3 linked regions of the Drosophila melanogaster genome follow. The protein of the gene in region 1 interacts with the protein of each later gene in a biochemical or structural test. Each region holds a gene or a part of one and is shown on either strand. Other genes may lie near its edges.

Region 1 (9,646 bases):
TGCCTCTGCTGCTTTTCGGTCTGGCTGGGATTTTGTCCTGGGCCTGGCCTGCATTTTAGCGGATACACTCATACACATGATGTGGCAATGGTGGTCGACGGACGGGAGAAGTGGGTTTGAAAGCGTTTCCGGGGCCAGAGCCTCTGTAAAATTACATGTTTCTGCTTTCAGAAGTCATACAAATTATTATGTTTGCATCGCTTACAACACTTATTAGATGTCCTGCTCCTGTTTGCCATCCTTTTCCAATGCTTCTCGTGCTGTGCTCCGGCCCAAAGGGGTTTTCGGCATTAAAATTTGATGGCATGTAGTGATAAGCGTTCAATAACGACGTTGTCCTTGTCGACGCCATTGCCCTTCCTGTCCCTTTCCATGCTTTCCGTTGCCCGCTGACTCTCCTTTCCACAAGGGCCACTTCATTCGATTCGTTTCGTTTCGATTTCCCTTTGCCCACCGCCCGTTTCCCGCTCCCAGTGACCGCAGCCAGAGGTTAATGCACAGTTGTAATTTTTTATGGCCGATTACATGTTGCCAACTTGTGGGCGAAAACGGATTCGCAAGGCGGGCAGCGGGAACAGCGACGTTGGCAAGTCCATAAAGGATAAGAGTTATGGCCGAATGCATTTGAATTTGCCAGCGGTAATAGAGTGTTTGCATATTACGTGGCGAGTGCTTAAATCCCCTGAAAGGATTCGGGATGCACAATTTATGGAGCTCTGATCTATAAGCTGCTGTCGTGGCTGCAAAACGATTGCCGACTGCCAAGGGGGAAATCATGTAAATGCAACTCAATTTACGACAAAGTTTTTATTTCGCCCAAAAAACAATTGGCAAATTACGAGGACAGTCCAAAGTCAGTGCCATGCTGCTAGTTTTTTAATAAAAATTAACTTGAAAGCAATACTTTCAATTCACTATCAATTAAAAGACCTTAAGATCTTAACTTACAGTTCAGAAACTGAGGATCTAAGATATAGGAATATCCGGTAGCACTGCGCACCATTCACCTGTGCTAATGTTTATAAGTTTTATTCGTTATATACCTGTAGTAAAAGTTCAGCAAAGTGGATTCACCAAGAATGCCGTGGCGGCGTATAACTAAAGCGTTTAATGTTTGCAAATTAAAAAGCATTCACCGGAGTCGAGACCTCTTTGACTTCGAACTTTGTCCGCAGGCCGGCGGAGTTGTGAATGGCACAAGGATTCGATAAGATGCAAATGCCTGCAGGACAGCAAGCAGAGCCTGGCGTTGGTTTCCGATATAGTGGCACGTAATTGCTGCGCCTACATATCCAGCATCCTGAACCCCATCCACTTCCTCGTCCTCATCCACCTCCTTTAACTCCTACTGCAGATGCTGCCTTGTTTGTGTTGTTTTGTGTTGTACTGAGCTGAGCTGTGCTGTGCTGTGCATTTCATTAAATGCCAATGGCTGGGCAAATTAAATTGAGTTTTGAGCATGTCGAGGAGTGCCATTTCATCAGCTTTGACTACGCGATGTGTCGCCATCATATTTACATAACTGCATGCCTTCCATGGATGCTTGCTTGCCTGCTTGTTTTTGTGTCCTCTGTTTTGTGCAATATGAAAACAAGACATTAAATGCCTTTCTGGATCAGAATTCAACTATCAAAGCGCATGCAGACGTCTTCGCAGGCAGCAGGATCTACACCACCTCCATTGCCACCAGCACCACCAACACTTCATCCTCCTTTCAGCGGAGTCAGTCGCAGTTGCAGTTTCCTTTCGCATGCAGCCCATCCATTTAATAATAACAATATCGTAATTCAGGCAAGTCACTGACAGCACCAGCCTTTACATGGGCGTAGCCAGCCCCTCCTCCGTTCGGCGAACAAACGAGAGAAGCGTAGCGACATTTCAGTTTCAACGGCAACATTTCCGATTCTCGGAGCATTGTTGCCGTTGTTATTGTTTCTCTGGGGCGCCAGTGGATGGGTGAGGAGTGGGCTGGCGGCCAGGCGGTGGCTCCATAGGAGGCGGAATGGTGGGCCAAGCAGCCGTCAACAGGCCTTCAATACATGCACGTTTGTATGAGTGCTAAGTGGAAATAAAACACGCGCTTTTTCCGCACTGTATTATCTGCCACTGCTACTGCCGCTGGATCTGTGGATCTGTTTCTGGTGATGGTGGTGCTCTCCTCCAGCTCCAACCAAATGAAGGTGGTAGTGCAAGCAGCAGCAGAAGCAGCCACCAACGAGGGGTGCATGCTGCACATTTTTTAGGCAGCCCACGACGAGGCGAAAAGGTACAACTTTTCCGGGCCTATTTAAAAAACAGAAATACAATACAGTTTCAAAACTGCCGAGTAATCATCTCGAATGTCTGATGCCTTAGCATTAAAAATATAATTTTGATTAGTTCATATTTCTTCATCATGCCCTTCTAAGTATGCTACGCTTTAACTGATTAATACATTAATTCAACAAGTCCTAGTCATTCTAAACAGAATTTTATACAAAGTACCTATTTAAAAGTATTTTATGCTGAAACCTGATGTAATGGTTTCATTTTAATATTTTTTGAGAGTTTCATACATGTCCCGTAGACTAGATCCTTATTTCATGACAAGTTTTGACGACAGAGATTATCTGTAGCCTGCAGTTCGCAAGGACAAAACTGCTCCATCACGGACGTTTCAAAAACGCTGCACAGAGTTGCGCTGGGAACCTTTGCGAGGATATAGAAAACAAGAGGCGACTCCAACTGGATGCTGCCCTTTTGTGGTTTGCCTTTTATTGTTGCTTGTTGCTGGTGTTGTTGGTGCTCCGACTGGATGTTGCTGTTGCTCATTGCTGTTTGCTTCTATTTTCTTTTGCCGCATTTTGGTTCGCTTTTAATGATAACGCAACAGCATTGTGTGTGTATGCCACCGCCACCGCCAACCCACCAGCCCCTTCTGTCCCCTCATCACGCATCCTCGGGCTCATTCCATTGGCCAAAAGGCCTGATACCCTCTCGACCAGGCCACCTTTCGTCATCCGCTCAACCACAATAATGGTGTGCATCAGCCGGAGTTCAGGGGGTCACAAAGGGGTGAGTGGGTGTCGTCGGACGATGGGCGGTGTCGGCGGTGCCGCATCACAATCACGCATGCCGCACCACTGCCAATGCATTAAATGCTAGTTGAGCCCAGTAGTGTGTGCAACGTCTGGCGAAGTAAATTCAATTGAATTTTGCACTCGTTTTCTGTTTTCAGTTTTCCATTTTTTCTCCCATTTTCCGCACTCTTCTTTTATTTATTTTTTTTTTTTGTATTATTCCTTTCTCATTTTTGTTAAATGCCACAGGCTCATATTGCAATGGGCTACGCCCTAATACCAAGCACCACTACCCAATCCACAAAACGCGGCAGTGCAACAAACGCAACGCACCCTGGTTGATATTTTCTTGGTTGTTATCCTTCTCGCTGGCGGCGGGCGTGTGATTTGCTTGGTATCGACATTTTAATGATGTGCCCTGGGGCTGCTGCCACCGCATTGTTGGAGGACGCCTTGGCCGCCTTGTACTTTTGGCATTTGCGCGAAATGTCGAGACATTCCAATAGTCTGCCAAGGATCAGAACCAGAACCAGAAGCTGGAGCCGTACTATTGGGTAGTGGGAGTGAAAATGGCAGGCTATGGCGGCCTGGACATACCAAGTTGGCCTGCGGCATATACTTAAGTGTACATAACCAACTGTTAATGCCACACCATCGCCCAGCACAATGATTTGCTCGAAATGATTGCCGCCCTCTCTTGAGCATTCACTCGAGTTTGGGTTTGAATAATGCCAATGATTTGCCCGCTGGCAATCAAATTTGAGCCGGCTAATAACTGGCAATTGCAGGCAGTCGTTTAGGGAAAACGGCCAAGCATTCACTTAATTATACTATTAGTGTAATATTTATGGGCGTGTGTAATCAACAGGTAAAGCAGATAGTTTAGTTTGCTTTAAGCATAGTTTACCCCCACGAGCATAGATCTAATTTAATAGTAAGGTTCTATGATTAATTATGCACAATACAGTAATGTTGGCAAGTTTTAATGCCAGACATATTGCTACACAAAATCCCGGTGTCATTGATATGGACTGACCTGCACTTGGACAGTGAACCAAGACGTTGGTGCAAGGACAATAAAGGAAAATTTTGTACGAAACGATGTTACAGCAGGATATGGACTTTTGCAGAGCATGACATCACACATCCTACGGCTTAAAATGGCAAATAAAATGTACAGCATTTCTTATGACCGACAAATTTTCCGCTGTGGCCCCCACCATTATTTATAGGCATTTTAAACAGCAGGCAATGCCGCAATGGAAATGAGTGCAAAAAATATAAATAATACGGAAAGCAGGACATTAAGAACACGCCACGTTGGCAAGAAGTAGACGCATTTTAGACATTACCAGCAAATAAATATGAATGTATAGCAATACGGCAAGGGAAGGGGGGGGGGGGTATAGACACTGCTTACACGACGAAATTGACATTTTGCATTTAGTTATTCAGTTGGGTCTATATTTTGATCTTTTTTTTCTACCATTTTGCTGCCGCCGCTGGCAGCCACAATAAAATGAGAAGAAAAATTGCATAATAACCCCTTTGAAATCGTCGGATTATCCTTAAATATTTGTGTAAACATTGTAACAAATGCGCAGCTCCATTGTCAGCCAACTCGGGCCATGGATGCAGCACAGAACCAACCTCCATCCTTCATCCTCCACCTCTGTTTCCATCTCCGCCTCTTTGAAAGCCATCCCCAATCCATTGACGTAGTCAAGGCGGCTTTTCCTCAACCCCTGTGCGTCGTCTGTCGTCAAATGCCTGAATGATGAGCAATAGACGGGTCCGGGTCTCCTGTCACAGTCGACAATGAGCAACTTTTTCCAAAGGCGGAAGACGTGGCAAGGATACAAACGGGCCGCGTAGCCAACAATGGGACCAAGTGCTCCGCCGAGGAGGGAAAGCGTCTTAAAAAACCTGTCACACATATTGACAGTCGCTTTAGGATCGCTTAAATCAAGTCTGGGGTCGGCGGGGGCATGAGCCGAGTCGTCGGGTTGGTTAGCATGTGCGTATCAGCATAAAGGATATTGTAATCATTACATGTAATTCACATTTGGGGGTGAAGGGCAATTGCCGCAACTGACATAATTTTGATGTGTATTGATATGAAGCGGATTGTCAGGCAGGATAATTAATTTTCCAGAGGATAAAGAAAAACTCAGGAAGGGACATGTAATATTTTGAGCCATAAGAGGCTAATAGCTGTCTGCTTGTACTGTCACTGGAGTTTTAAGATTATTAGACAAACTTTTACGAATCTTTAAAGACATAAAAATCTGGATACTAATGGCAGTTGTAAAGCGTGCCCAACAACTTTAGCTCTGTTTTTTATCCGCTATTCCAATGCTTCCATTTGCTCTCTGCGCTTTTTCTGTACCGCTCAGTGTCCTAATCGAATCATCTCATTTAAGTGAATTAAAAAACATATAAAGGCGAGCAAAATTAAATCACGCAACTATTTTGCGCAACAAAGAGTACAATTAAAAGCCCACCCGGCGGCAAAAAGGACGAAAAGGAGGCGCAGTGGTGTCTGGCGCAGAAAACGCCGCAAGTTTAATCGAATTTAACTACTCATAATGTGCAACAGACGTTGGCGGATGGGGCTGTTTCAGTGGGTGGTGGGGTGGTTTGAAAAACTCTCAGAAGTGTAGGCGTAAAGTTGGGCACTAATCTTATTAGGATCATCCCGGGCCAGCCACTCACGAATCCCAATTGGGAAGATGAACTGAAAAAGCCAGCTGATGTAGAGCTCTCTCACTCGCTCGGTCGTTCTCTCTCTCCCTCTTTCTCTCTAGCCGACTTTATTCGTACGTGAGCGTTTCAATTACCGCTCTGGAGTGCGAATGGGTTTTATTATTATTTACATACCTGTTGCAGCAGGGGCATTGTTTTGAATAAAAATTCCAATTTCCACACTTGTTCACGTTGCGCTCCTTGTTCGTTCGTGCTCGTTCGCGTTCGTTCGTGTTCGGCAGGAGCAGCATCCGCCAACTGACAAAGCGGCAAAACAGATGTCACCACTTCCGCCTCTCGTACCTTCCCTTTCCCACTCCCACTGCCGGCGGAGAGCCCGTTCGCGCACCGTCTCTCTCGCCCTCTCTCTTTCACTCCTGCGCAGGCCTTTCGGTTGGAGTTCGCTGCGGTTCGAGTCCAAGTTCGTGTTGGATCTGGTTGGAGTTTGAATTGGATGCCGAGCCTCGGGCAAGGAATCTGGTTTTTGTTGTTGTTTATTGGAGCTCCACAGGATAACGCGACTGAGCGAGCGAGAGGGGCGAAGGCGAACCAAGACAGCTGGCAGATGTGGCCGTATCAGCAGCAAATAGTCATCGATTCATTCCGCCTCGTCAACGATGCAAATTTCCAAAGGCCTGAAATATCATAAGCATGAATTAATTATAAGAGTACTCTTCTTTGTAGTTTCCAAATCAGTGGAGTTTAAAGAAAACACACGCGTACGCACTTGAGCGTTAAATGCCGTAAATCGATCAAGGCGTATCCCTCTCTCTCCTACTCTCTATGACACTGTCCCGGCTAACTGTAATTAACTGTAATCCAGGGTCGTTTACTTTAAAGGGGGCTTTTATGGCCGCCAATAACACAAACTATGCATTATCCTTTCGGGTGGTAATCCTTTCGGAAGCTGTGTGTTGAGCGAACCTATTATTAGAGCCATAAATCAGCATGAAATGAGCAGTGGCAGCGAAGTTGGAGTTGTAAAATGGAGATGGAGATGGGGCCAAGCCCTGTCTCGCCCTTTCTCTACTCTCTCCATCTCACTCTCGCGCTCTGTGCGTAGAATAATGGGTAGTAAGAATAAGTGTGCACACAGAAAGAAAAATTGCTATACTTTCATGAATTGCACTGTTATTCATATTTCTTTTCAATTGATACCGGACAATCCAAAAATCTATTATTGTGCACACCTTACATTTTATTAACGAATTAAGACCCCGCGCAATTCCAGCTTCATTTCCTCTGTGTGGCCAAGGCGGCGATTGATTGCCGTAGTTTTTGGAGAGATGACGTGAGCCAAAGGCAACAGAAAAAAAAACAGGACCAACGGCACATAATAGTAGTGTGTAGTTGTAAAGTTGTAAAATACGCACGTCGAGAATGAGAGAACGAAAAATGAGCCGCTGCCCTGTTTTTCTTCACCTTCTTGTTACCAACTAATTTGAACTGCACCATTTTTCGGTCAACAATTTCTAGTGCCGGCTAACACTGATACACCAATACATACCCAGGACTCGCAAAAACACGCGGATGGCGCATAAATTCGTGTGAATTTTATTTTAATTCCGCACTTGCAATCGCATCCCGTTTCTTTTGTCGTCCACCAAGCACATTTTTACACACACTCGCACACACGCCGCCAGGAACCGTTACTTCTGCTTTGCACGCCCTTCGCCGTTTTCCGTTTCTCCTTCCGATGCTGTTTCGCCAAACTACTCACTCACGGACGCATTTTTTACTATTAAACTATTTTGATTGTTGAAAATCTTTGCGACTGTGGTATGGCACCACATTAACTCGAATTTAAAATTGAGCCTTAAATTTGAGCGGACCCTGCCGCGGCAATACAAATTAATAGAACAAACTAAATTATCATCCCGTGATATCTTTTATTTTGGAATTTTAGTCGGGATTTTTTGATATTATGGCCACGCCACGGCGTGCAACGCTGCTTAAATAACCTTTTTCGCCTGGCTCTGTCGAACCAACCGCATGCAACCGCTCTCTTGAACTTAAAAGCGCTCATTTGTTTGAAACAACTTGTGTTCGACGATTCCTCGACAAAAAAAGAAACAGTCATTAAAATTCGCACAAATGGCTGAACTATTTAAATAATTTATTTAATTTGTATTTTCATTTAAAGTTTTGGTTTTAAAATAATTTTTATATTTCCATTAATTTTATTACTTATTGGTAAAGCATTAACAGCAACCAAATTTTTTTCACTGGCGTAAACAACTGTTTCCAGTGAATGGCAACAATACAGCTGTTTTGCACAGAGTTGCCACTATGTTCAAATGAGTTATTACCAGCGGCGGAAAACTTGTATCAAATTTATAACAAAAATACAATTCTGCGTTAATAAAAATGCCCGGGGACACGGAAAACACAAGCACTGACACCACCAATGAACACATCGACCTGGCCTTGTACCGGCAGCTGGTCAAACAATTCATAGACATGGTAAGACAAAAAAACCAAAAGCCGGCAAGCAGAGCCTGAGTGCAAATTCAATTGCATTTTTAGCGTCGCTACTCCACAGCGCTTTTTTGGGCAGAAAAGGTGGCCGTGCTTGGTGGCCTGGAACCCAGGGATATTTACTACCAGGCGCAGTGCATGTACCTACTGGGGGAATACCATCGTGCTGCTCACACAATACAGCATCACAAGCTAGAGAAGAATTCACTGCCATGTTTTAACCTACTACTGGAAAGTCTCTATGCGGCCAAGGAGTTTACCGAGGCGGCCAATGTCATCCAGAATGTGGAGGTGGAAGTCATGACCACATCGCTGATCAACCAGCCCGTTGATGCAAGCAGTGGCTGCTATCTGGAAAGCAACAGTGTCTTTGGTGGCGAGGAGAATCACAGAAATGAACTGCTCTCATCCATTTACCTAATGAAGGGCAAAGTTTATGAGGCCCTGGACAATCGCGGCATGGCAATGGACTTCTATGTTCAGGCCCTTCACAAATCCATATACTGCTTTGAGGCCCTGGAGGCGCTGGTTCAACACGAAATGCTGATGGCTTGGGAAGGTGAGCATGCACCTACTTTCTGAATACAGTATAATCTCAACTTAATCATTGCAGAGTTTGAGCTAATGCATCATTTACCGCTGGCACAACAATCCAGCGAAGCTGATGCCAAGTTTATACTAAAACTTTATGAATCTCGCCTGAAGAAGTACTACGAGTTGATTTCCGCACGCAATGCTGAGGAGATGTCCCCCATTGTTAATCCTGACATACTCCAGTTTATCAAGGAATTTACAGCTCGAGTGCAGCAGAGCGGGTCGTCAGACACACAAATGCCCAAGGTGAGCGCCGTCAAGGTGCCGCTTACGCCCAGCCAGTTCATGTCGCCCGCACAGAAGTCAGTTCTCCTGATATTTCTAATATTTAGCGCATTCTTATTGAAGTTGTATCTTTAAGAGTCCTGGAAGATCTAAAGGCGCCCACATTTTCCCTACAAACTAGTCTCTCAAAGGCTTCTTCCCTCATTGATGCTTCTCACCGGTCCATGTTTGACTCATCCAGTAGGAGGCGATCGCGTGATCATGACACGGACACATTAATTCCTATCGCTGAATGTCTTGATCGGGTACAACGTAGTACTGACCTAATGGCCGCTGAGGCGGAGAAGTGTTTCTACGACTGCGACTACAAACAGTGCCTGAAAATACTCAATGAGTAAGTGAAGAACGGCGTAAAAGACTTATATTGATCAAAAATGTATTTGGTTTTGCTTATCATATATAGACTCCTTAAGGTGGATCCCTTTCATAACACTGCACTGACCATTCAGATTGCCTGTCTGGTGGAAAACGGCGACTTTAATCGG
Region 2 (12,673 bases), on another chromosome or scaffold:
TTTGTGTCAAAGAGATTATAATGTATTCCTACCTTCAGGTTATTTGGGTAAATTTTCTCTCTTATTATTTTCTTGTACTTTCAATGCAACTGGCTAGTCATATTTCACATGTGAGTATAAGGTTTTGTTTTTTTTGCTTTTTGGTTCTCTCGCTGCGCACAATTTGGCAAACAATTTTATTTTATGCAATTTTCGGTTGATTTATCAGAGAATCCTTTAAGGCGCACCGAGCAAGTATCCTGTCCTGGCGAATGGGGATTTGGTTGTTGGCTTTGGCTGCGTGGCTTCTTGTTGCTCCTTTTTGTGCCCGCCTAAGCCGTTCACTCCTCCCGATTCTGCTGCTTCCTCGTTCCTTATCTCATTTCGCGTATCACGGAGCTCGTTAAAATCACCTTAGAACACGTGACTGCACAAACACACTCGCACTCACACACACACATGCACTGGTGGCGACGAAGCAACAGCCTTACCCACACACACACAGTTTGGGACTATCGCAGATCCTTCGTCGGATCCTTTTCCCTATTTTCCGCCTTCTGTTTTGGTAAATGCTATGTCAGAAACACAAAAACTGCATCTCGCACACACGCACGCCACAGCAAAAATTGGGTTCAGTCCTGCGGTTTCAGTGCAGTTCAACCATTTTTTTTTAAACAATTTTTTCTGTTATTTCCGATGCTCGTAATACTGCGAAAATTGAAATGATGATCTACGCACGTCCTTACGCACGGACAACGCAATGTAAACTGCAGCAGGAGTCGAAGGATTCGCGACACTGCGAGTCCTGTGCACAGATTTCCCAATTGGCGAATGGCCAACGAAGATGGTTCGGAGAATCCGACGTCCTTCATCGGAAAATCACGAATGGAAAAGCGAGGAGAGAGAGAGAGAGAGCACCCGTGTGGTGGGTTTCTTATCCATAAATGCTTCTATTGCTAACTCTGCTTGGTTCCCCTTCCACTGCTTGATTTCCCCTTCCCACTGCTTTGCCTAAGAGAACTGCTTCGTTTTGACTGCTTGATTGTACTCACCACGACTGCCACTTTAAACGGCAACTTACTGTGTACAATATAAAAAAACCAATTGTAACATTATTTTTAAATTTAATAAATTTTTAAATTTTAAATTTACTTTAAATTTTTTAAATACATGTTAGAGTTTAATTACAAGACTTCGGAAGGTAAGTATGCTTAAATAAGCATATATTTTAGAAATACTTCTTCCTGTCTGAGTGTACGGAAAAAGTATATGGAAAGTAAATTTAACGTGGTTAATTCAATTTTCAACTTCTTTCGAAAGAAATTTATAAAAATATATATATTTTCCTACTGTTTTTGAAAGGCCGAGGAAACACATACTCAAATTATACTTATGGCCACTTAACTATGTCCTCCCATTACACAACACTTCCTCTACTTAAAATGGGACCAGCATTGACGAATGGAGGCCGAAACTGGCGACTCTCGGGCTGGTCAGTGACTCCACTTGGGATCCAAATTCAAATCCAGCATAATTGTAAATCAAGCCGCTTGCCAAAATGTCCCGCAAAAGCCCACTCGAAGTACTTAAGTGGAGCATAGCCCCATGTAGATGACCACCAGACTGGGACTGAGATGGCTGCAGAAATTAGTTGCCATTGGCAAAGGCACTTTGCGCCCAAAGTGTCATAATCATAAAAATTTGCAATTATGCTGATGCAACACGGTAGCAACCACCGGCAACTGGAGCAAAACATTTCCAGTTCATTAGCTCAGCCACGCCCCTTTTGCCGCCCGTTTAGTTCGTGTAAGGACACACATTCGATTTTGTTGCTTTGCAAGACTTCTTGGCACGAGGCGAGGCAATACAAATTATGCAGACAACTGGAGACAATAAAGTCATTAACCTCTATTCCAACCAGGCTAAAAGAGTTCAAAGCGGCAACGACTTAATGTACATATATTACAAATGTTTCTACAAAATTAAGCAAATCATATTAATCTAATAATCTACTAAAAAATATATTTAGTTGATTTTTCATAGACATCAATTTATTCATATCAAATGTTTGTGCGTGACTATTTTGCTTATCACTTAATACATGCTGTGCTTTTGTTTTTAATTTTTTTTTCTTTTTCAGTTAGTTTACATAAATTCATTTCTTACAACAAGTGATTTCGTTTAGTTAGATTTCATAAATAATTCACAATATTTTTTTTTTTTGCTTAAGACGGTTTCCTATATAAATAATTTCAAAATAAATTAATCGCTTAAAATAAAGGCAACTACGACCTATTGGCACACTGGGAAAACTGTGCACTTTCCCGAGCGCAGCTATGCTACTTGGAATTTGAGTACAAATGCGAGTATAAGTCAAGGTCAAGGCTGTGTTGTGCGGGAAAGCTATTCGCCCAGGGAGTTGCCATTTTCTTCCTGACTTCTTCCTATACTTTTTACCGTTCCGATTCTCTTGATCTTACGACTACCAAATAAATGGGCATGCAAAAAAAAAAAGAAAAAAAGAATTCGAGGCAATGGGGTCGAACGACAGGAGCGGATCACCACTGGTTGGAGGGACGGCGCTCTGCGCCTGGGGCCGCACTTCCGGAGAATCGCGGCGACGAGGAGTTCTGCGAGGAGCTGCTGCTGGGCATTGTGCTGCAGGCCGCCTCGTTGGCCAGCAGCGTGTGAATGGCCGTCAGCAGCTTCTTGCGAGCTCCAAACGCCGCGATACCCAGCTCCATCAGGTTTTCCTCGGTCAGGGTGGTGAACACCTCCAGGTCGATTTCGTTTAGAACGAATATTTCTGAAAGGAGAAATAAAAACTGTAGTTTTCCCAGGTTGTAAATATAAAATAGTTTGATTTTAAATGCTATATGGATGTTGAACTTTATGTAACTTTATCTATGACTGTGAAAAAACGTTTGCGTTAAATAAAACACTCTCCAGTTCAAGCCAGACATATATGATAGCTTTATAAAAGACTTCTAGTACACAGTTGGTAAAAACGGACATGATCGGCGGAGCTACTCACTGATGTAGTGCTCCAGACCCAAACTGGTGAGCAGAGTCTGGATGTCCTTGTGCTTGGCTAGCTGCATCCGTCGGTTGACTGGAGTGGCGTCCAGGAGTCCGGTGGTGGCACTCAGTCCGTAAGGGGAACCCAGTCCTGGTGGCAGCCGCCACCCACTAGATGCTCCTCCACCAGCAGCCCCATTTTCCCCGTTCTCCAGCGGGGCAGGGGCGGGCGAGGTGCTGCTCAAGCCCATTCCCATCCAAGCGGTCGTGGGTGTTCGCAGCTCCCCTGCCACCGGGGTGCGCTCCATGGCTTTGTAGCCCAGGGCCCGTTTCATGTCGAAGTCAAAGGCACGGTGGCCGGAGTGCTTGTTTCCTCCAAGGTCATAGTGCAAACTCCGATAGCTCTCGGCACTGCCGGGCAGGAGGTGGGCTCCTCCGGAGTTACCTCCTCCACCGTTGGAATTACTCAGCCCCAGCAGCACTCCATCGCTAAGGCGTCGTCCCAGACGCGCCCCACCACCACCTCCGCCGCCAACGCCACCACCCTCACTGCCGTAAGTGGAATCTGGCGAATAATGCGCCCGATTTTGGCTTCCCGCGGTGGAGGATGAAGTGGACGACACGGTGCCCGGCAATTGGGCATACGGCGGATACGACTGCTCCAGGGAGGTGGTGCTGCTGCTAAAGCTCTGGTAACCACTGGTATTCTGACTGCAGCTGTTCCGTGGCGAAACAGTCGGCGGTTTGAGAGGCGGCGCCACCGCTCCAGGAACCTGCAGATAGTTGCCATTGTTGCTCTGCCCACCAGCCACCATGGAACGATTCTGAGCCTGTTGGAAGCTGTTGTGCAACTGCATATATTTTTGGGTGGGCGCACACACCCCAGTGGGCGTGGCCAAGCCATTGGCGTTCAACAACAGGTGATTGTTGTTGGCATAGGGCGTCAGTTGGCCAGCCAAGGAGGGCGGCAGCAGCGATGGAGTCTTCGGGCTGTCCACATACCCAGCCAGCAGAGCAGTTAACTGGGTGCGGTAGGCGAGATTAAGGTCTTTGTCCTTTGGCATGAAGTAGTAGTCGGGGATCTCGGGCTTCACGAATGGCGTGGCCAGGCGCAGGATCTCCTGGCGGGCCTCGTAGATTTTGTCTAAGGAGGGTGACAACAACGGATTAATACGGAAATTTAATTCAGCACTTGCTAAATATCTTAAATTGTATAATATATCTAAAAAGTAAGGAAAATATGGGATAAAAATCAAACAATAATGGAAAGTGCAATCGTATATTAATGCAGAATCAACGAAAATCATACACTTTACACATTGCTTTAGAGATCTTACCTATAAACTTCTCCACTCCCTTGACCACAATGGCCAGGGTGCTCTGCCGCTGTTTCTGGCGCAACGTGATGTAGACGCCGTACTTGGTGTTGAGGCTCATTATTTCGGATGCATCGTTGTGGTTGTCCGGAAAGTCAAAAATCAATGCTACGGGCAAATTGCCAAGCAATTGTTGTCGCGCCAAGTAGACGTCGTCGATGCGTCCGCTGATCGTGACCTGGGACTTCTTCAGGGGCTTCACGTTCATGTCGCTCAGATCGGGGAATATGATCTTGGTCTGGGTTCGCTCCATAATGCTCAGCAGATTCACGTTGTTCTTGCCCTTGACGATTTCGTGATGCTGCGGCGAGATCTCCATCTGGACATTCACCAGGATTTGGCTCTAAAAAGGAAAAAGGATTCGCTGATGAGCCTTATTTTGAGTTATCCTTCTCGAACCTACCGCAATACTCTCACAGGCGAAGTTGATCAGCAGCTGCGTGGCATCTCGGACCTGCGCCGATTCCTTCTCGGATCCCTTGACCAAAACCAGCGAGGTATGCAATTTTGGACGCGTGGAGAATATGACCTGAAAGGAGGAAAAATCTTTAAAATATATTCAATAATAATTAAGAGCAACGAAAAAACTGTTTACAAAAATCCTTGGTTGTAATTTAAGGTTGCCAAATTCGAAAATAACGTTTAAGTAACTTTATTACTTTAAATGCGTTCTAAATCACTTAAAAATATATAATAATAACACAACTGCAAAATTAGCCTAATGTAACATCAGTTGATAAAATTATAATGGAGCAATATATAATCACAACTCTCAAGGGTTGGGAAAAAAAAATTTGACATTTTCTATACCCCCTCTTAAATGTATGTATGAATGTATATTACAAAATCTTACCTAAATTAGTTAAACTAATCAAGCCATTATAGTCAAATGCAAATAATATTTGGTAACATGCCATGATTAATTTATAATTAATTTATAATCTTACACTTAGTTGACTCCGACATCTGGAACTCACCTGAACATTGAACTTGGTCTCGATCATCTTGATGTAGGGAGTCTCGTGGTCGGGCTGCGGCTTGTTGGGTCCCATTACGGGCATCTCGAAGGAGATGAGCAGCGGTGTGGAGAGCCGAACGAGAGCCCGGGCTCGCTCCACGCCCTCTAGGCTGCCGCACAGCGACACCTGGTTGGATTTCTCCGTGGGATTGGAGCGATTCGAGTCGGGGAAGTGGATATGGGTATGCGTGTCGTCCATTATGCGCTTGATGTTGTTGCCACCTCGTCCGATGATGTACGAGTGATCCGTGTAGCTGACGTCCATTTTCATGATCACTCGAGTGCCCTGTTCGGAGAAAAATGGGTAACAATTAAAACAGATAAGTTTGTATTATGCTTTGGCTCACTCACCCTGGAGTCAAGACTGCTAAGGATGCGCTCCTTTGCCCGCTGAACCTGATCCACCTTTCCCACAATTCGCACATGGGGATCTTTAAATTATGGGATTTATTTGAAAAATACTCTTGAACATTGAAAATATTTCAATATCCTACCCTTCTTGCTCTTGGCACCAATTTTGAGTCTGCAAGGCCAGCTCACATAAGTATCCGTAGTGTTCATGATCTAGTAAAAGAATATGTTTTGGATATATGGCGAATTCTTTTATATCAAGTCAAAAGAGTCGGTCCTAACAGTATCTTAAAACAAATTGGGTTATACACTGAAATTTTATAGATGCAAAGTCAGATTGCCAAACAAAGACATGAATCAATTAACTTAAAAATTTTGCTCAAAAACTAAATAACTTAATATACTATTGAATAGGAAACATATTATTATATGTTCAATATTTATAAGGCATGGCATTCTGTGTCTCAAAATGAGACAAAAGAAAGTGTGAAGCTAATAGGTGCCCAAAACTTAAAAATATGTACTCACGTCATGGAAAAAATATTCAGCTCCATTCATTCCCTCAATGGAGCTCTCCGCTATCAGAAAAAAGGCAATGTATAATAAGGAATCTATTATTTTTATATATAAAGGCATTACCTTTTATTAACTGTTCCAATTTCTGTCGATCCACCTTGAAACGTTCCGTGTGGAGATCGTCTGGGTTTTGAACGCCCAACTTCATGGCGATGGCGCGTATGTCACTCCAATCGCTATCCACGGAGGAGATCTCGCTCTGCGTCTCGCTGGGGGCTCCACTGCCCACCGAGGTGGTCGATGGAAGGGCGTGAAGACTGGACAGGGATCCAATGGATCCAGCTTCCACCTCCAAGCCCACCATTGGCGGTTTGGCAACATCTGCGGCCGACGGATACATCAGTTTATTGAAAGAGGCACAGGACAACATTGTGGAATTCGGATGATGATGATGATCACTGGATCAGTGGATCGGTCAGTGGATCGAGAAATTCGTCAGAGGTCAACAGGTGTGGGTACCAAAAAGTCGTTTAGTTTTAAAAACCAAGCAAAACGTCCGTCTCAGTTAAGGATTCTGGAAGCCGGTCCGTTGTTTGGTCAGCTTTGTTAGATGATTGCTGCTACTTAATGAAGTAAAGTGTATCTGAATTGATGGGATGAGCTGGTGATGAAAAATGAAAGGTCCGAAATGATGTAACAAGAAAATTGATGTTCGTAATAAGAAGAGAGTGGTTAGAAAGCGAGTCATAGGTAATTTAAAGTGAATATTGAAACACCATATAAAAATTAATTATTTTTATTTTGATAGTCGGTACCATAATTTAAGCAATGCACTTTCCAAAAAAAAAAACGATTTTACCTTTAAATTTAGTTCTCTTTTAATTTTTTGCGGTAAATAGTATTTAACTATCAACTGGAATAAGTACTTTTCACTAACATTAAAAAACTTTCTGTCTTAATTTGAAAATCTGTCTTATAAATTTGTGAGAATAATGCCGCGAAAAGGTGAAATAAAAATTCACTAATTAATATTATTATGGATAACAACATTATTATTGGTTCGCCGCCTGTCGAAAATTCCAAACTTTCTTGTGTGTTCTTTCACATAACCTCTCAAAATGGAGTGCTGCTGCCATGAGGTTCGTACTTTCCCCTTTCTCTCGAGATCCCGAAAACCGTAATTTCACCCGTGTCTTCACTTTCACTTCCTTGTGCCCAAAAACCAATGGCGTAACTTACCGCTGGGAGATCGCTCGGTGATCTCTACTTGAGATTAAATAGGCCCTGGAGGTCCAGACAGATGGCGTGCGAGAGGTCCTGGACGAATTGGATGGCCTCGACGAGGCAGACGTTCATAACAAAATTACGTATTTGTTGAAATCTCTCGACGAAAGGCATTTAAGGTGTGATCTGCGCAATAGAGATCTATATATCAGTATATAGCTGTGTGATTGCGACGGTCTGAGGGGCTTTGTCAGAGTATTGGAAAAATGCAAGTTGGGAAAAATCTCTCTGATTTCTGGGGGACCAGCACTTCTTCTAAGTACGGCTTGAAGGCAACTGAACGCGGCTCTCGATTTCGTCGATCGATTTTGCCCGCTGCTCGACGGCATTTACTTCTAACTGTTGAGCGGATGAATTCCGCAAATCGCTGGCAGGAGAAAATCTGGCGAATATTGTTGTTGCTGGGTCAATGAACCGCTCCCGGAATAAGAGATTCGATTCCATATGTCGAGAGCGAAAAACAAAACAAAGTCGCAGGGAGAGGTGGTGTTCCAGAACTCCAACATAGCTACAACAATTTGCAGAGCAAACGCTTAACAGCGGTTAGAATGTTGCAATGTTAAGTTTGAAATGTTGCCAACCGTTTTCATTCATTTTGGCGCCAGAAAAAACGGTAGAGAAATACGGCACAAAGAGAAACCGACTTTATTCCCGCCAAAAACACGCCACTTACCGTAATGTCAGAAATTCGGATCGTAGCACATACACATAGATATCGCAGGTTAATTTACTTAAACACAATCAATTGTAAAATCTTTTCGACAAATAACACGCTCTTTTCACGTAAAAAAATTGTATATCCGCTTGCTAATTAATTTTGGGCGCAATTAATTTTCCGTCAATTGGTCAAATTAAGGTTCGAATGGGAATTCGGCTGGCAGTCGGTGTATTTTTTCAATGTAACCAAAAAAAATAACCACTATCGAAGTGCGAGTAACAGAAAAACACCACGTGTGTGAAAAACACAAAGGAAAATGCAATGGAGTCTCATGAAAAGCGAAACTGAATTGTTGTCAGAAAATCGTGCACTGCGCGTTAGTTAGTTATATTTGAATATTTTTTAATATTTTATAGCTCTTTTGAATTAATATATTATTAATGGGTTGTGCGCGCCGTGCAGTTGTCGTCATTAAAGCGCGCTGACTATCAAACTAAGCTCGGCATGTGGGTCCCAGTCCCAACTGACCTTCAGATCCAAAAGCTCTGTGTTCTGTGGGGAGTGAAGCCAGTGCACGAACAACCTTAAAAAGCTGCCAGCCAACTGGATAACGGATATTCAGCAATAGCTTTATAACGGGAAACGGAGCTTTTCAAGCTTCTGAAACTCCCCAACCTGCACTTTACCAAAGTATTTATATACAGTGGGTTTTAAAAGTACGCTCACCCTTGTACAACCGGAAATCAAACTTTAAATAAACCAAACTTAAATTACGTAATTAAATGATGACATGTACGAGTAAAAGACGTCAGCAATAGTTATTGAATAGGGGTTACTTTATTTCCTTGCTGCTATTTTACATCACTATTTTGTTTTCTTCAATCTTATTATTACATTTATTCTGGCTTTACACATTTCGGGTTATTTATTGGGGATATGAATATATTATGTGCTATGCATTTGACCGCGTTTTTGATTCTCTTTATAGATCTAAGACTTATCGTTTTTCCTAGCAGCTGGAAACATTCACTGTTTTTTTATCCTACTTTCATATTTCTTGGTTAATACTTTTAATATTTATTCAGTAACATCAAAATGTTTGTCCCATTTTTATGTACATAAAACTAGCTTTTTACATTCTTATACATATGGTTATAGTTTATTATATATATTGGCCATAATTGAAACCATACTGAAATTAAAATTAAAATCCCCTGTCAATGTTTTAATGTAATGGGCATAAATTAGGGAAGACAACTTTCACAACACGATTTGATTACAAAAATCTGGCGGCATGCAGTTTATTATTATATAATTATCTATTTGTATTACTTGTTTTTGCATGTACACCAATTAATTTATATTTCATAAGTTTTATTATTACGTTTTATCATTTTATTTACACTTTAAATATATGTACTGAATTTATAAATTATTCAACATTTATTTTTTATTATTGTTATTTTTTTTTAATATACATTTTCATTTGTTTTTGGGCTACGATTACCCATTGCATACATTGAATTGTGTTTAAGGTAAAGGAACTATTTACCGCTGGATTTTTGTTGGCCAAAAATGTTCAAATAATTCTTTTGCTTTCATCGAGTTTTAATATTGCCGAAACAAGACTTGAAAATAAAGATTCTTTTTCGTTTTAATTTGCTCTATGTATTCGTTGTTTTCTACAAATAAACGCTTGCTATAATAATTAATTTTGCTTTTCATTTCCACAACCGTAAAAAGTTCCTTTCTGTACAGTGGATGTTACAAAATATTAATTTTGTGCTTGGTTTTAAGCTTTTATTTACACATTGACATAATGTCTTCTTCATTCTGAAAGGAGAAAACAAACAAAATAAAGTTATAGTCGATTCTCTCGACTATAAGATACCCGTTACTCAGATGAATACCTTATAATGTTACAAACGATTCCACTAATCTAGAACACTCTTTTACTCTAAAAGTAACGGGTATTAGTATTGACTTAAATTATATTCGGTTGTTTACAATTTTGAAGCTGTCAAAACCCCACTTTAAAATGCACTACGGTACCCGAAAGCTAAGCTCAAGTGCAGTCTAAAGTTCAGCTTGCTGTACACTGTGCACAATTCCTATAACTTTTTGATTTTTTATTTGAATATATTTAACGCTTGATATATAACATAAGAGTTTGAAGTACATAGTATTTATTCTAAGTACATTTTGATTTTCAGTGACTGAGCACACGCATTTTCTCACCCTGTACGTGCCCAGTGCCCAGGCAACTGTGCATTTTTGGTTTGACTTTCCGCATCTCTTAATGTTCTCTTCACTGAGAGCCATTTGTCGTGGCTTATTGTGATCTTTTATTTTTTACAGTAAAGATCTGTTCGAAAGTATCGGGAATAAAAAGTGAAAATACCTTGCTGTAGCATTCATATATGCTTATTGAGTTGATATTATTGTCTGAAAAGTGTGTCTAGCTGAAAATAAAATGTGTTACTATTTTTACAAAATAATAAATATGACAAATAGATATTTAATTTTAACAGTGAACAGAACAGTTTCACATAGTTAATGGAAGTAATGTGATTGATTGGTGATCTGTTTTACAGCACAATATATTTCCGTTTAATTCTGTTGCGAAAATGTGAGTAGGCCGAAAACAGATTTGAGAGATAGCGGCGTACAGGGTATCTTTTTATTTAATGGTTTCACCGTATGTTGTATTTTACCTAAGATTAATTCATTTCCTGTTATTATTCATCGGTTTAATATCTACTTGCTGACTTTGCTCTGCCAATAATTAAATATATACTGCACTTTCCCTGACCTTATGCGTTCAACACTTAAGAGCTACGACCAGATCGATTTATGCAGCTGGCTGATGCAATCAGTATGAGTACGAATGTATATTAATTATGCCCTTCAACAATTCGGGTGCGAAAGGAAAAGAGCCATATACTGGCTATTTTGCACGGTGGCGAGCACCTTAAGCTACTTTCGAAAATGGATTTCATCATCAATTCGGCATCAGCACGCGCTCCAACGCGACTGCATCATCGCATCCATCGCCTGCGATTTCTTTTGCCGCCTTTCTCGCCGCCGAGTCATCAATAATCGTTGATCCGGCCCACTGGCCACGCCCCTTACAGCATTGACGCCCCCCACAAGTGTCGCTGACAGCCGCTTAATGCTGCAACTCGCAACTCCTCCTGCAGCAGCAACATCTGCAGCATCAGCATCGGCAGTTGCTGTCGCTGTTGCCGTTGCATTTGCACTCGTGCTGCCAATATACGCATCACCACCGTCATCATCATCATCACGACTTCGAGTTGGCATCGCCATAGCCATTTGACAATTATAAAAGCATTTGACGCTAGATGCGCTAGATGTTGCCGCTTTTGAAGCTGTCACCTCGATGTTGCTGCTGCTGCCGCTGTTGCGTTGTTGCTGTTGCACCTTGCCAGTCGCCGGCTTAGTGTATTGACAGTTGATAATTTGATGGCCCAGCGGCCCTTGCTGCAGCAGGAAAAAAAGGAGAAGAGCAGCCGCTCCACCGCCCCCACATAGCCAGTGCCACGCCCCCGCCAACTGCCTGTTGATGGGGAGCTTTGTGAGCTGCGATGGCCAGAACTGCCAGAAGATTTCGTGTGCAGCTGTCGAGGCGCCCGATGCCGTGTTATCCGCTGGAAATAGAGAGATGCACAGGTGAGCATTGGGTGGAGGTAAAAAGAAGGGACATTGCCATTAAAGGGGCTTCAAATTTTCCCCCTTTGATGCCTTTGTGAAAACTAAACAACGCAATGTCCTGTTCGATTTTTGGAAAAGTCAATGTCTGTCAGGCTTCTTTAATAATTTATAAGCCAATAATCGTACATTTACCTATTGACCCCCTTTATACCTTTTACGTATAAGGCTTAGTAAAAATTGTAAGAATTTAGCTAAGTTTTCATCATGTGCATTCCAAAATAAGGTTTCTCTTGTAACCAATTTTGGCTGGGGGAAATAAGGTAGAAAATGCAGTTTCCTACCAAAAGATATTCAACCAGACAAGTTCTTCTGTGCGAGTGGGTGTGTCAACAGTGCATTTGCATAAAGTTCAGAGCGGAATGCAAGCAAGGAATCGGAACATGCAATCTCCCCATTCCTTTTGCTTAATAACGAGGGTGGCTTGCAAACTTCCGTTTTGAGGGCTTCCCTTGGGCGCTATGGCCAAAATATTGTCGCATACGTTGATATTTCACTGGAATTCCGCCGTTTCCATTTCCCAGCTGCTTTCATCGGTAAGCCAGTGAACTCAATTTTAAATACAATTTTCAGCTCAATGCGTTTACACACTTGTTATTTCTGGTGTTGTCGTTACTTGGTGTTAAGTAAATGTTGTCGCTAGTAAGTGGCAAAAGAACCGCAAAAGGAGCGCGAGGCGAAAGAAAAATGAAAGGATATAGAAAGGACCCCCCATTTTCGCCAGAGGCCCCAATCACGCTTCCG
Region 3 (9,609 bases), on another chromosome or scaffold:
CAATAACAATATGCCTCATATGCGCAGGAAAATGAGGAGCTAAAGCAAACCAAACCAAACAGTGAGTGGAAAGCTGAGCTTCCCCTTTTCCCATTTTCCCGCACTGCAAGAAGTTAGTTGTCAACACGGTACCACGTAATTATAGAGTTGCAGGGCTTATAGAACACACCACACGAACACATACAGCCAAAGAAAAATGAATAGCAGTCTTTAATATGCATCTATATTTATTGAATTTATGGCATAGAATAGTTTATAGTATTCTAGAGATTTTGAAATATTTTAAAAATATTTTTTAAAATATCTTATGGTATTTAGCAAAAGTCATTTCACATAGAAATCAAGTTAGGAGTACTATTATTTTCGACGAGAGTGCGCCGCACATCGGGCCACATTTCATTTGCTTTCTAATAATTTCTGTGGAAAATTCCGATTGCACATGTGGGACTTTATATTGGCAGCACTGTGGAAACCAATTAAAATGCTGCACTGGCTCTGATTATGGCCAACGACAACTTTGTGTGGGAGTGGCGGTGTGAATAGATTGGTATGTGTCAACTAAGTGCAGTTAATTAGTGCGAAAATCACTTCAGTTGGCTTGGGATATTTTTTCGCTCTCGGATTTCCTTTCAGCTTTTCGCGCCATTGTTGTTGGCGCCACCTCCGCAACGGAGCGTTTTTCCTTGGCGAATTTTCACGTTAATTGCTCTGCGTCCTGCAATCAGCCGGAAAACAGGAGCAGATGCCGGGAAAGCCAGCTGCTTGCAGGCGAGCTATAAGCCACTCAGGGATTTACTCAATTTGTTGTCACTTCATTCCGCAATTTATTTCGGTTTATTTTCCGTGTTTTACTTTAAATCTACGCAGTTTCTTTTTTTTTGTTTATATGCCACAGTTTATAAAGGAGAAGAAGCATTTGTTAATAGGCCAGGATTTGTTGAACGAATTTTGTTTTGTATATAAAGAAGAAATGAGTATTATTACATTTAAGCATAGTATTTGGCATACGTATACATTTATTTATGCTGAGAAATCCCCGAGATATTCTTAATTTTTCTTATATGCAAGCCCAAAAATTTATCAATCTGACTTAAATTTGAGATCTGCTACAAGAGCAACATGATCGGATGGAAAAACAGCCGATGGTATCGCAGTATTGGCTTTCAACTCCTCCTCCGTTGGCAGTGGCACCACCTTTAGAACTTCGAAGCGATCGTTTTGGTAGAACACATAGTCCAAGCAACCCGCAAAGAGGGTGGTGTAGTGGGTATATTCCGGTGCCCCATAGGCTGATGCCATTTTGAAAGGCTGCGCGAGTTCCACATTCGAAACCGCCTGCTCGGCATTACTTTGCCAGTCCTCCAGTGTTTTTTCGGCGAGCTGCTCCGTCATCAGCTTGTAGATTCCACACTCGGGAACGCTATTGAAATCGCCACAAAATATTAGTCCAATGTTTTTGTGGCTACTTATGTTAAAGTCCTTTATAGCTTTGCTAATAGATTGCTCTACGAATAGCATGGAAAATCCCATTTGCAGCAGGCGAATGTGATCTGCATCCGGATGGAAATATAAATGCGTGTTGGCCACCAGAACGTAGTTATCGGTACCCTTTATTCTAAGCAAACAAGTTTGCAGAGTGGTGGACCGTTCACAGATTCGTTCTGCTAATTGTGCGTTAACTTTGATCTTATTCCAAAGGCTTTCAAATACGGGCAGTGCGGGAATATTGGACCCCAAATGCAGGATTTGAGAATCCAAGAGATCGAAGCGCGAGTTCCGAAAGAAAATTGCCACTCCCTCAGCGCATTTGCCTTTCGGGGCCATTATGCCGTGATAGTTATACGGCGGTTGTTCTAGAATTTCCTTTAAATCAAAATCAAATATTCGCTGATCGACTTCTTGTAGACAGAGAATATCGGAGTTATAACCGATGATCTCGTTGATGAACAGTGGCTTCCTATAGTCTATTTGCAGATACTTTGCCGGGCAATAGGAGAACAGAGTGCTACCGGCATAGTCACTACTGGCATATAAATCGGCCAACAAATTGTAAGACACCACACGAATTTCATTCGATTCGCTCAAAGAATTCGTGGTGTGCCTTTGGCGATCTTGGAATGGACAACGCCCGGGAGATTCCTGCACTGCAGAGTTGGTTATCTTCTCCACCACAGGACCCGTCATTCCCAGTGCATTACCCGGCGTCACCACGAACTTCAAATGGTAACCAATATCCTCAGGAGTCACTAGATATTGAAATCCTTCTCCGCACACCTCCCAATCGGTGTCTGTGGGCTTTTTGGCCTTGAACCAAACTGCTTTGCTGAACTGACGTTCTCCGAATTGTATCTGAACATTGGTGGGGTATATTACAAATCCTGCCAATATGCATGAGGGCAAAAATTTTAGGGATGAAATCCACGGTGGATTGAACACCAAATCGTAGACCGTATCTAATACCTGCAGTTTTACATTGCTGATATCTTGGGTGACGACTAGATCCTCAAATGTTAATTCATTGAATTTTTCACCATATTTGTCACTCAGAAGTTTAACATTGATTTCTGCCGGCGGTTTGATTTTTGATTTTTTGCAGGACTTTGCAAGCCTGCCAATAATATTACTCTGAATCCTGGCCAATATCGCATCAATGGGCTCATTCATCTGGCGACGGAAATTGAATTCCCGGTTTATTTTCAAATTCTCATTCACAAAGCGAAACACAATGTCCAATTCTTTGGTATCACTTGCATTTCTCAAATAAACCTTCTCCATTTTACCAGCCAAGGAAGTGCCACAAAATCTGGACAATAGCGAAACTCTAGTTGGAGTTTTATTTCCGAATAATTTATCAGAATTGCGAACTATGTTTTTAAACAAAAAAAACCCCATCAATGTTGCAAATGTTGGAGCGAAGATCGGCGTTGAAGAAGAGAACTTCTCTTAGTTGACTTGTTTTTCGCCGTTTTATCTGGGAAAATTTTGGGTTAGACAACTTTACTTGGTGCACCGATGTCGTAACAACTCACTTGTCCAGATTTAGTTGCAAAATTAATCACATTTAAGTTGTTTTACACCTATTTACAATCGGCAAACAGTCGTGTTGCACGAAAACACCGCAGAAATTAGGCGAAACTGCGCCGATTTCGATAAAAACGAAGAGAGATTTTTACTTTTTCGCTCTGCCACGCCGCGCGATCAGCTGTTGTTTTTGGCATTCACAACGAAACCAACCACATGCTCGGCATTGAGAAACAGCTGATCTTGAGAGAGCTTCTGCCATTAGCAACGTTGAAGCTTTGACGCAAAAGCTTTTAATAAAAGCTTTATTTAATTTCAAATCTTGAAAGCAAAAAGATTTCACTTAAATATTACTTTTTTTCATAAAATTATAAAGCTGATAAATATATGAAGAGTTGCTATGATCTGAAATTGAACATATCGAAGAATAGAAGATTTTTTCTATGAAATAGAAAAAAAATTTCTATATAGGAAACGTTTATTCCTTTTTTGTGGTCATTAGGAGGAACATTATTATTCGCAAAATATACACCCGAACAAAACTATAAAACCTCCTATTTCACTTCAGTTGAAAACTATTTTCACGGCAAACGTCGTAAACATTAAGCTAAGTGTTACGATCCAAATGAGACATCTTGCCCCAACGAAGGAAACTCAACTTTCGGCCAAGTTAAGAAAGGACAACTGAGACGACGGCCATAAAAATTCGAAACAGAAGCCAGATCATATGTGTAGAGCGTATTTGGCAAAGGGGTGGACCAAAGGTATGGAGCACACAAGTGCATAAAACGCCGAAACAAGCCAAGAGATGACTTGGCCAGGCCAAAAAGGAATTGGCTTGGCCCCGAAACAGAGTCAACAACTGTGCGCCACACAAGAGTTTGCCAAAAAGATTGCACTACGAAGGAGCAAATGAAAAAATAAAAATCAAAAACAAGAGAAAAATCGCATAGAACTCTATAAAGGACACAGAGGACCAAAAAGGACAACAACCTGACTGGCAGGGCAAACGAAACCAGTTGAAGAAATGTTGCTGACACCAAAAACGAAACTGCAGGAAGACGCCGATGATGAGGATGAGCCAGGGAATGAGGCTAAGCCCGAGGATGCAGAGAGCATCCTTGGGCCCGAGATGTGGAGCAGAGGCGGTAAGGACAACAACGAAATTAGTTAGCACTTGAGAGAAAGCAGCTTTGGCTCAGTTCCAGGACTCGTTGCTGGCTTACAACACCTGCGGGAAAAAGAAGAGGACTTTTAGCTGCTCCTTCTGTTCCCTACTCCTTTCCTATTGACCCGAACCAGAGATGGCCAAAAAGCTTCGATTAGACACAGTGGATGGAACAAGGACTAGAAACTAACTATAAGTCATTTAAGAGTTTTACATATTGAACATTTTTTAAGCAATATTATATACACTTTTCAAAAATTTACCAGCATTTATATTGAAATTAAGTATAGATGATTATATTCGATAGTATATTTCTGAGATATAAAGATTAAAATCCACCAAAAATCAGCAAAATAGTTAGCTCATCTTCGACAGAAGTGGTGAAAAGCAAGTTCTTGGAGGCAGGCGGCAGCAATTAAATAGCTTCGAGCACTCCGAACTCAATTGCAGCAATTTCAATAACCGTCGAGGACACTCAAAGGACGGCAAGGTCCTTGCGATAATCTGTCATGCAGCGTGGAAGCCCAAGCACCGTGTCGCACACACCCACTCACACACACACAGCACACAGGACGAGTTCACAGCACACCAACCCACTTTCCATTCACACTCAAGGACAACTAGAATATCCGCTTTTGGTCTGAACACTTGAAGAACTTTCTTGCACTCACCTATTTCACTTGCTGCGGGAATTTGCTATATTTCTTCTTATTTTCCTTTTTACACTTGTAGAATTTGTAGCCGAAAGCGGATAACTGGGCTATTTCATTTGTAGTCTTGTGGGGGTAAATACTTTGTATATTTTTTTGTAGATTTTCTTCTTAAGAATTATTGATAAAAGCATGGAAGAGTGACGCGGTACGGCCGAAAGGTTAACACATTGAGAATTTTGCCACCAATAAGCCGAAAAATTGATAAACTTTTATAAAATTATATGTACGTTACACAATCTGATTTGGAAACACTACAACTAAAAATCTATATTGAATCGATTTGACAAGCGTTAGCGCAGCCAACTGGGATGCAAAGCTCTCGCTGTTCATTTTTTATTTTTTATGAACTTTGCTAAAATAAAACTAAATTAAATTTAAAAAAAAGCAAATGAATTGGATACCATAATTGATTGCTATCACTGATTCATATCAGTCGTTCAGCTCACCAAGTCGAACGTTTGACATTAGCAATAAATGAATCAACAAATATAAAAGTTTTGCCAAGAAAGTAATTTGCTAAAATTGGCGAGTCGAGAAAGAAAGTCAAGAGGGTGAGTGGAAAAAAAACCGAAAGAAATTCAATGAGGCTGAAAATTTCCTGGCTCGATGCCAATTGAAGGCAAAGAAAGAAAACAAAACTCGAGTTTCTAATCAATTAAAAAATACAACGAGCGGCGGCAGGGGCAAATCAAGAGTAGAGGGTACGATTTTCGGCAATAAATAAATTACAACCAGCATGCAGTCAAAGCGATTAAATTGAAGGGGAGGCTTCCAGGACTATCTGATGCCGAAGAAAGTACAAAACTTCACTACGTCTGGTGCAATTTTAATTACGACTGCGATAGGAGCAGGTCGAAAGTAATGGCAAGGAGCAAAGACACCAGTCACGAGATACACAAACTCGTTGCGACTGCGAGAATACCCCGTATCTTATTGTGTTGTTTATAGAAAATGTAGGAAGCTACTTTTTGATGATTACATGGAGTCTTTCTTTCAAATTTGCATGAATATTTCGAAGAATATTTACATGAATTGTTTGAAATCATTGCTATATGGTTGTAGATTTAAAATTTCCAAAATAAATACTACTATAAACGTTAACAAATTTTATAAAGATTATGTTACTTATATATTATTATATTATATATTTTCTCCTCATATTTCAATTTCCAAAACCCTAATATGATAATATCCCTAATATCCTAATATATCCCTAACTTAAAACTTCTTTATAGTACCATTTACAAATGAATTAAATTTTAAATCGATTTCAAAAAGGCTTTTCTTGAAATGTCCTTTTGTCATTAATCAAAAAAAAATCTCTCAGTTGCAAATTTCTTTATCGTAAATGCAACATGATATTAAAAAAAATTAAAAATTAAAAAAAAAAATTGGTAACCCATATTTGATCCAAATTACTCCATGTGTAATATATCCTTAGCGCAACTTTTACAGGGTATAGCAGGGCGAAAGGCGCCGAGTCGACTAATCCTTTGGCAAAGTCTTTGACAGTTGTCTTAGATTGCACAACAACAAAGAGGAGAAACACAATAACATCTTCATTATTATCATTATCATTGTTTCCAGCACTGTGGGATGAAAAAGTACAATAAACGAATAAGTACAATAAATAAGCAAACGAAGAAACAACAAACATTATCGCACATCATTATCGTTGTCATTCAGAGAGCGTCGTTCCAGCTTAAAAAAGCCAGCCCAACAAATATATGTATATATATATATACCTATATATATTTGCTTTATTTTGGTGTTTAGTTAGTTTTTATGAGCGTCATTATTTTCGCTTGCCATGGCGCTAAGCATCTTAAGTGGCTCCTGCTCCCGCATTTCCCTCCTATTTTTTAGTGGAGCACTTTCCTCGTGTATTTGTTTTCATAGGCGCAAAATGTCTTCGTCAACTTTTGACGATTTTATAATTTAACTTTTGCCGGGAGAGCTCCTCCTTTTCTCCATTCCTCCATTTCCGCCCGCCGGTTTTTCCTCTTCCTAGTTTCGAAAACAACTTAATAATAAGTGAGTGCTGAGTGCTGGTTGGAGGAAAGTTGACTTGGTTAGAGAAAGACGCCTGCAATTAAGGTGGCACCACCAAGGCTGTGTATTTTTGTTGGGTCTTTTGGGCTAGGCAATTATTACAGGGGATCCAGTGCATTTAGAAAGTTTTCTGTGCGGAAATAATTGTCAAGGATAACCATGGTAATTGTAGGGAAAAACTGATAAACTGAAAAGCAAAGCTCGTTGCTCATTGTTGTCTTTTGCACACAGAATTCTGAGCAAAATGTTACTAAAATAGGGGCATTGCAAATGCAAGAAGCCCATACGAACGTATTTTCTGAAGACAAATTAACAAATACATTATCATTAAACATTAAGTACTCATATTTGCTGGTCAATTATGCATTAAGATACTCAAAATTCCATGATATTTAGGCACATTAAATAAACAACATACTAAAGATTATAAATATATTTTTTAAATTATATGTATTCATTGTCACAATTAGGCCACAAAGCCCTAACAGGAACGTTTTTTTAAGATCTAGCGAATTGTATTCTATTTTAAAAACTTTATTCTAGTAATATAACCCAATGACATTTAAAAGCTTCTTAATATAGAAAATAAAATAAATTGGGTTGGAGAACAAATAACTTATTCCTTTGAATAGCATTCAAGACATCTGCAAGTGAAGTCTACTACGTTAATGCCATCTCCATTTAATACCTGAGCTTACTCACCTGTTAACTTAGCCCAAAAGGGTTGTTACCAAACTAATTTCAGGTCCTAAAAGTTTACTCTAAGTTAGCTAATTTGATTAAGGTAAATGGACTGGCCAGCTGTAAAGGCATAATGTTTAAGATACAGCCATTTAAATACAGCCATTTGCATACATCACTCGCAGGCATCGTCATCAATATAAATTTGTTTTGTCAGAGCTGCTTTATTTTGTAAATATCGAACAAATGGCTTGGAACATAAGTGAAGCATATGTTGAAAGCTGGAGGAATCGTATACGAAAAGCGTAAACAAGCTGCTTTTCATGTTTGACATGCGTTAGGAAAAAAAAATGAAAGAACTAGGAATCCACATTTTCAACATATTACACACAGTCAAGCAAGTAAAAACAATAAAAAAAATACATACAAAACAATCACAATTCACACAAAGAAAAAACAATGTTAAGAACACTAAAGGACCCATTGCAAAAAGGTTGCTAGCGAGCGAATAAAAAAGAATCTTTAAGCTTCTTTTTTATCTGCCCCCACAAACATTGAACTTTATGTGCGAAGCACTGCAGCACCACGCCCCCTTTTCGTTACCATTATAATGAAACATCTATAAATTGTCAGCCACTTTCATCGATTCTCGGCTCCTCAGCTACTCGCTTCTGTTCGGCGATGTCCTCTGGAGGACCATAAATAATATTATTATGGCTCCAGGAGGCAACTTGTATTTGTCAAAGCAAACAGAACTGCTGGAGCTGGAGCAGGAAGAATCCTTTCCGATAGCTCCATTTGGACGCATGCCTTCCCTTGTTAACGGCATTATTATTGGCAGCCATTATTCATGCAACAAGTGATGCTCAGTGGCAGAGCGGCAACTTCCGTCTAATTACGGCTAATTGAATGGCTCTAAGTTCCGGGATTTGTCAATTGATTTGTAGTGGGATTTCCGTATATAAAATGCCAGAGTACCAGTGTATTCAAATATCGAAATTGCGAGTACAATTATTTATATTGTTTCAACCAGATGATAATCCTGATTGCAAAAAATTAACGCCACAAATAAACCAAACAAATCTATAAATTCGCATGTGAACTTTATTATTTATTTATATATTTGCGGAACAAAAAAAAACATGTATCGATGAATTGAATAAAAACTTGTGAAATTAATCTGTCACTCGAGGAAAGCTGATATGCACATAACAACGTTTTAATCAATTATAATGCCATAAAAAAGTAAACACAAGGATAAGGAAACCTTTATTGGCACATCGACAGCAAATAAAAACCACAGCATCAACATGAATAACAACAAATAGGCGAAAACAGATAACCCAAGCAACAAAGATTTATTGCATTTATAAGCACATTTATAGACTTTTGTGTACGTATGTATGTATATTCGCTGATTTATATAGCCGAGTTAAACCCATGTGGTTTATAATGAGACAACACACTTAAATGAGGTTAGAGTTGCGTTCGTTTTGGCCATAAATTGTCCGAATTGGCCGAATAAACACAGCGAAGAACTTAAAGGCTTAAAAATTAAAGATACTCCACTCGAGGTGTACTCACATAAGACTCAGATGCATGTAGGACACAGACAGTTATAGTAAATGATAGCTGGGATATCGAAATATATATTTGTATAGATAGATACCAAGAAACCCACAAAGAAAGCAAAAAACAGTCACTTTTTTTTACGTTGTACGGAAGACGTGACGTGATGTGACGTTACGCTACGCTACGAGACGTAATGACATAAGCGTACAATACTTTCGATCCTTTTTTTTATTGTTCCAACTGCGTTAACGTCCACGACAATTACGGCACTTTTCCAAATAATTTCAGCTATTTTAATTTTTTTTTAAATAAGCAGCAGTGTTTTATAAACGCACAACACGAAAACGCAGACGAAACACACAGCAAAAAGTCGAATTGAATAGTATAGAAAAAATTAGACAC

Evidence for each region.
Region 2: the proteins of orb (region 1) and BicC form a complex in vitro, tested with the Drosophila melanogaster proteins (one study listed by BioGRID).
Region 3: the proteins of orb (region 1) and bru1 form a complex in vitro, tested with the Drosophila melanogaster proteins (one study listed by BioGRID).

Annotation. Positions count from the first base shown.
Region 1 is NT_033777.3:23,273,120-23,282,765, forward strand, and holds the start of orb (oo18 RNA-binding protein), read right to left. Parts: upstream 7,738-9,646; 5' UTR 7,312-7,737; intron 6,440-7,311; 5' UTR 5,958-6,439; coding exon 5,940-5,957; intron 1-5,939. Other genes in the region: Cdc16 (cell division cycle 16), read left to right, coding at 8,172-8,267, 8,331-8,841, 8,896-9,178, 9,238-9,495, 9,565-9,646.
Region 2 is NT_033779.5:16,038,070-16,050,742, reverse strand, and holds BicC (bicaudal C), read right to left. Parts: upstream 8,697-12,673; 5' UTR 8,216-8,696; intron 7,827-8,215; exon of another isoform or gene 7,669-7,826; 5' UTR 7,657-7,668; coding exon of another isoform or gene 7,522-7,656; 5' UTR 7,498-7,521; intron 6,920-7,497; 5' UTR 6,689-6,919; coding exon 6,382-6,688; intron 6,321-6,381; coding exon 6,271-6,320; intron 6,192-6,270; exon of another isoform or gene 5,956-6,191; coding exon 5,886-5,955; intron 5,823-5,885; coding exon 5,743-5,822; intron 5,678-5,742; coding exon 5,351-5,677; intron 4,903-5,350; coding exon 4,777-4,902; intron 4,717-4,776; coding exon 4,335-4,716; intron 4,142-4,334; coding exon 3,014-4,141; intron 2,786-3,013; coding exon 2,538-2,785; 3' UTR 2,117-2,537; downstream 1-2,116. Other genes in the region: CG45084 (uncharacterized protein), read right to left, coding at 7,522-7,656; beat-Ic (beaten path Ic), read right to left, coding at 11,213-11,868. UniProt on the Drosophila melanogaster protein: RNA-binding protein that is involved in oogenesis. Required for correct targeting of the migrating anterior follicle cells and the establishment of anterior-posterior polarity in the oocyte. May act as translational repressor of oskar during oogenesis.
Region 3 is NT_033779.5:12,201,382-12,210,990, reverse strand, and holds the start of bru1 (bruno 1), read right to left. Parts: upstream 5,149-9,609; 5' UTR 4,861-5,148; intron 3,283-4,860; exon of another isoform or gene 2,776-3,282; coding exon of another isoform or gene 1,081-2,775; exon of another isoform or gene 881-1,080; intron 1-880. Other genes in the region: CG31759 (uncharacterized protein), read right to left, coding at 1,081-2,775.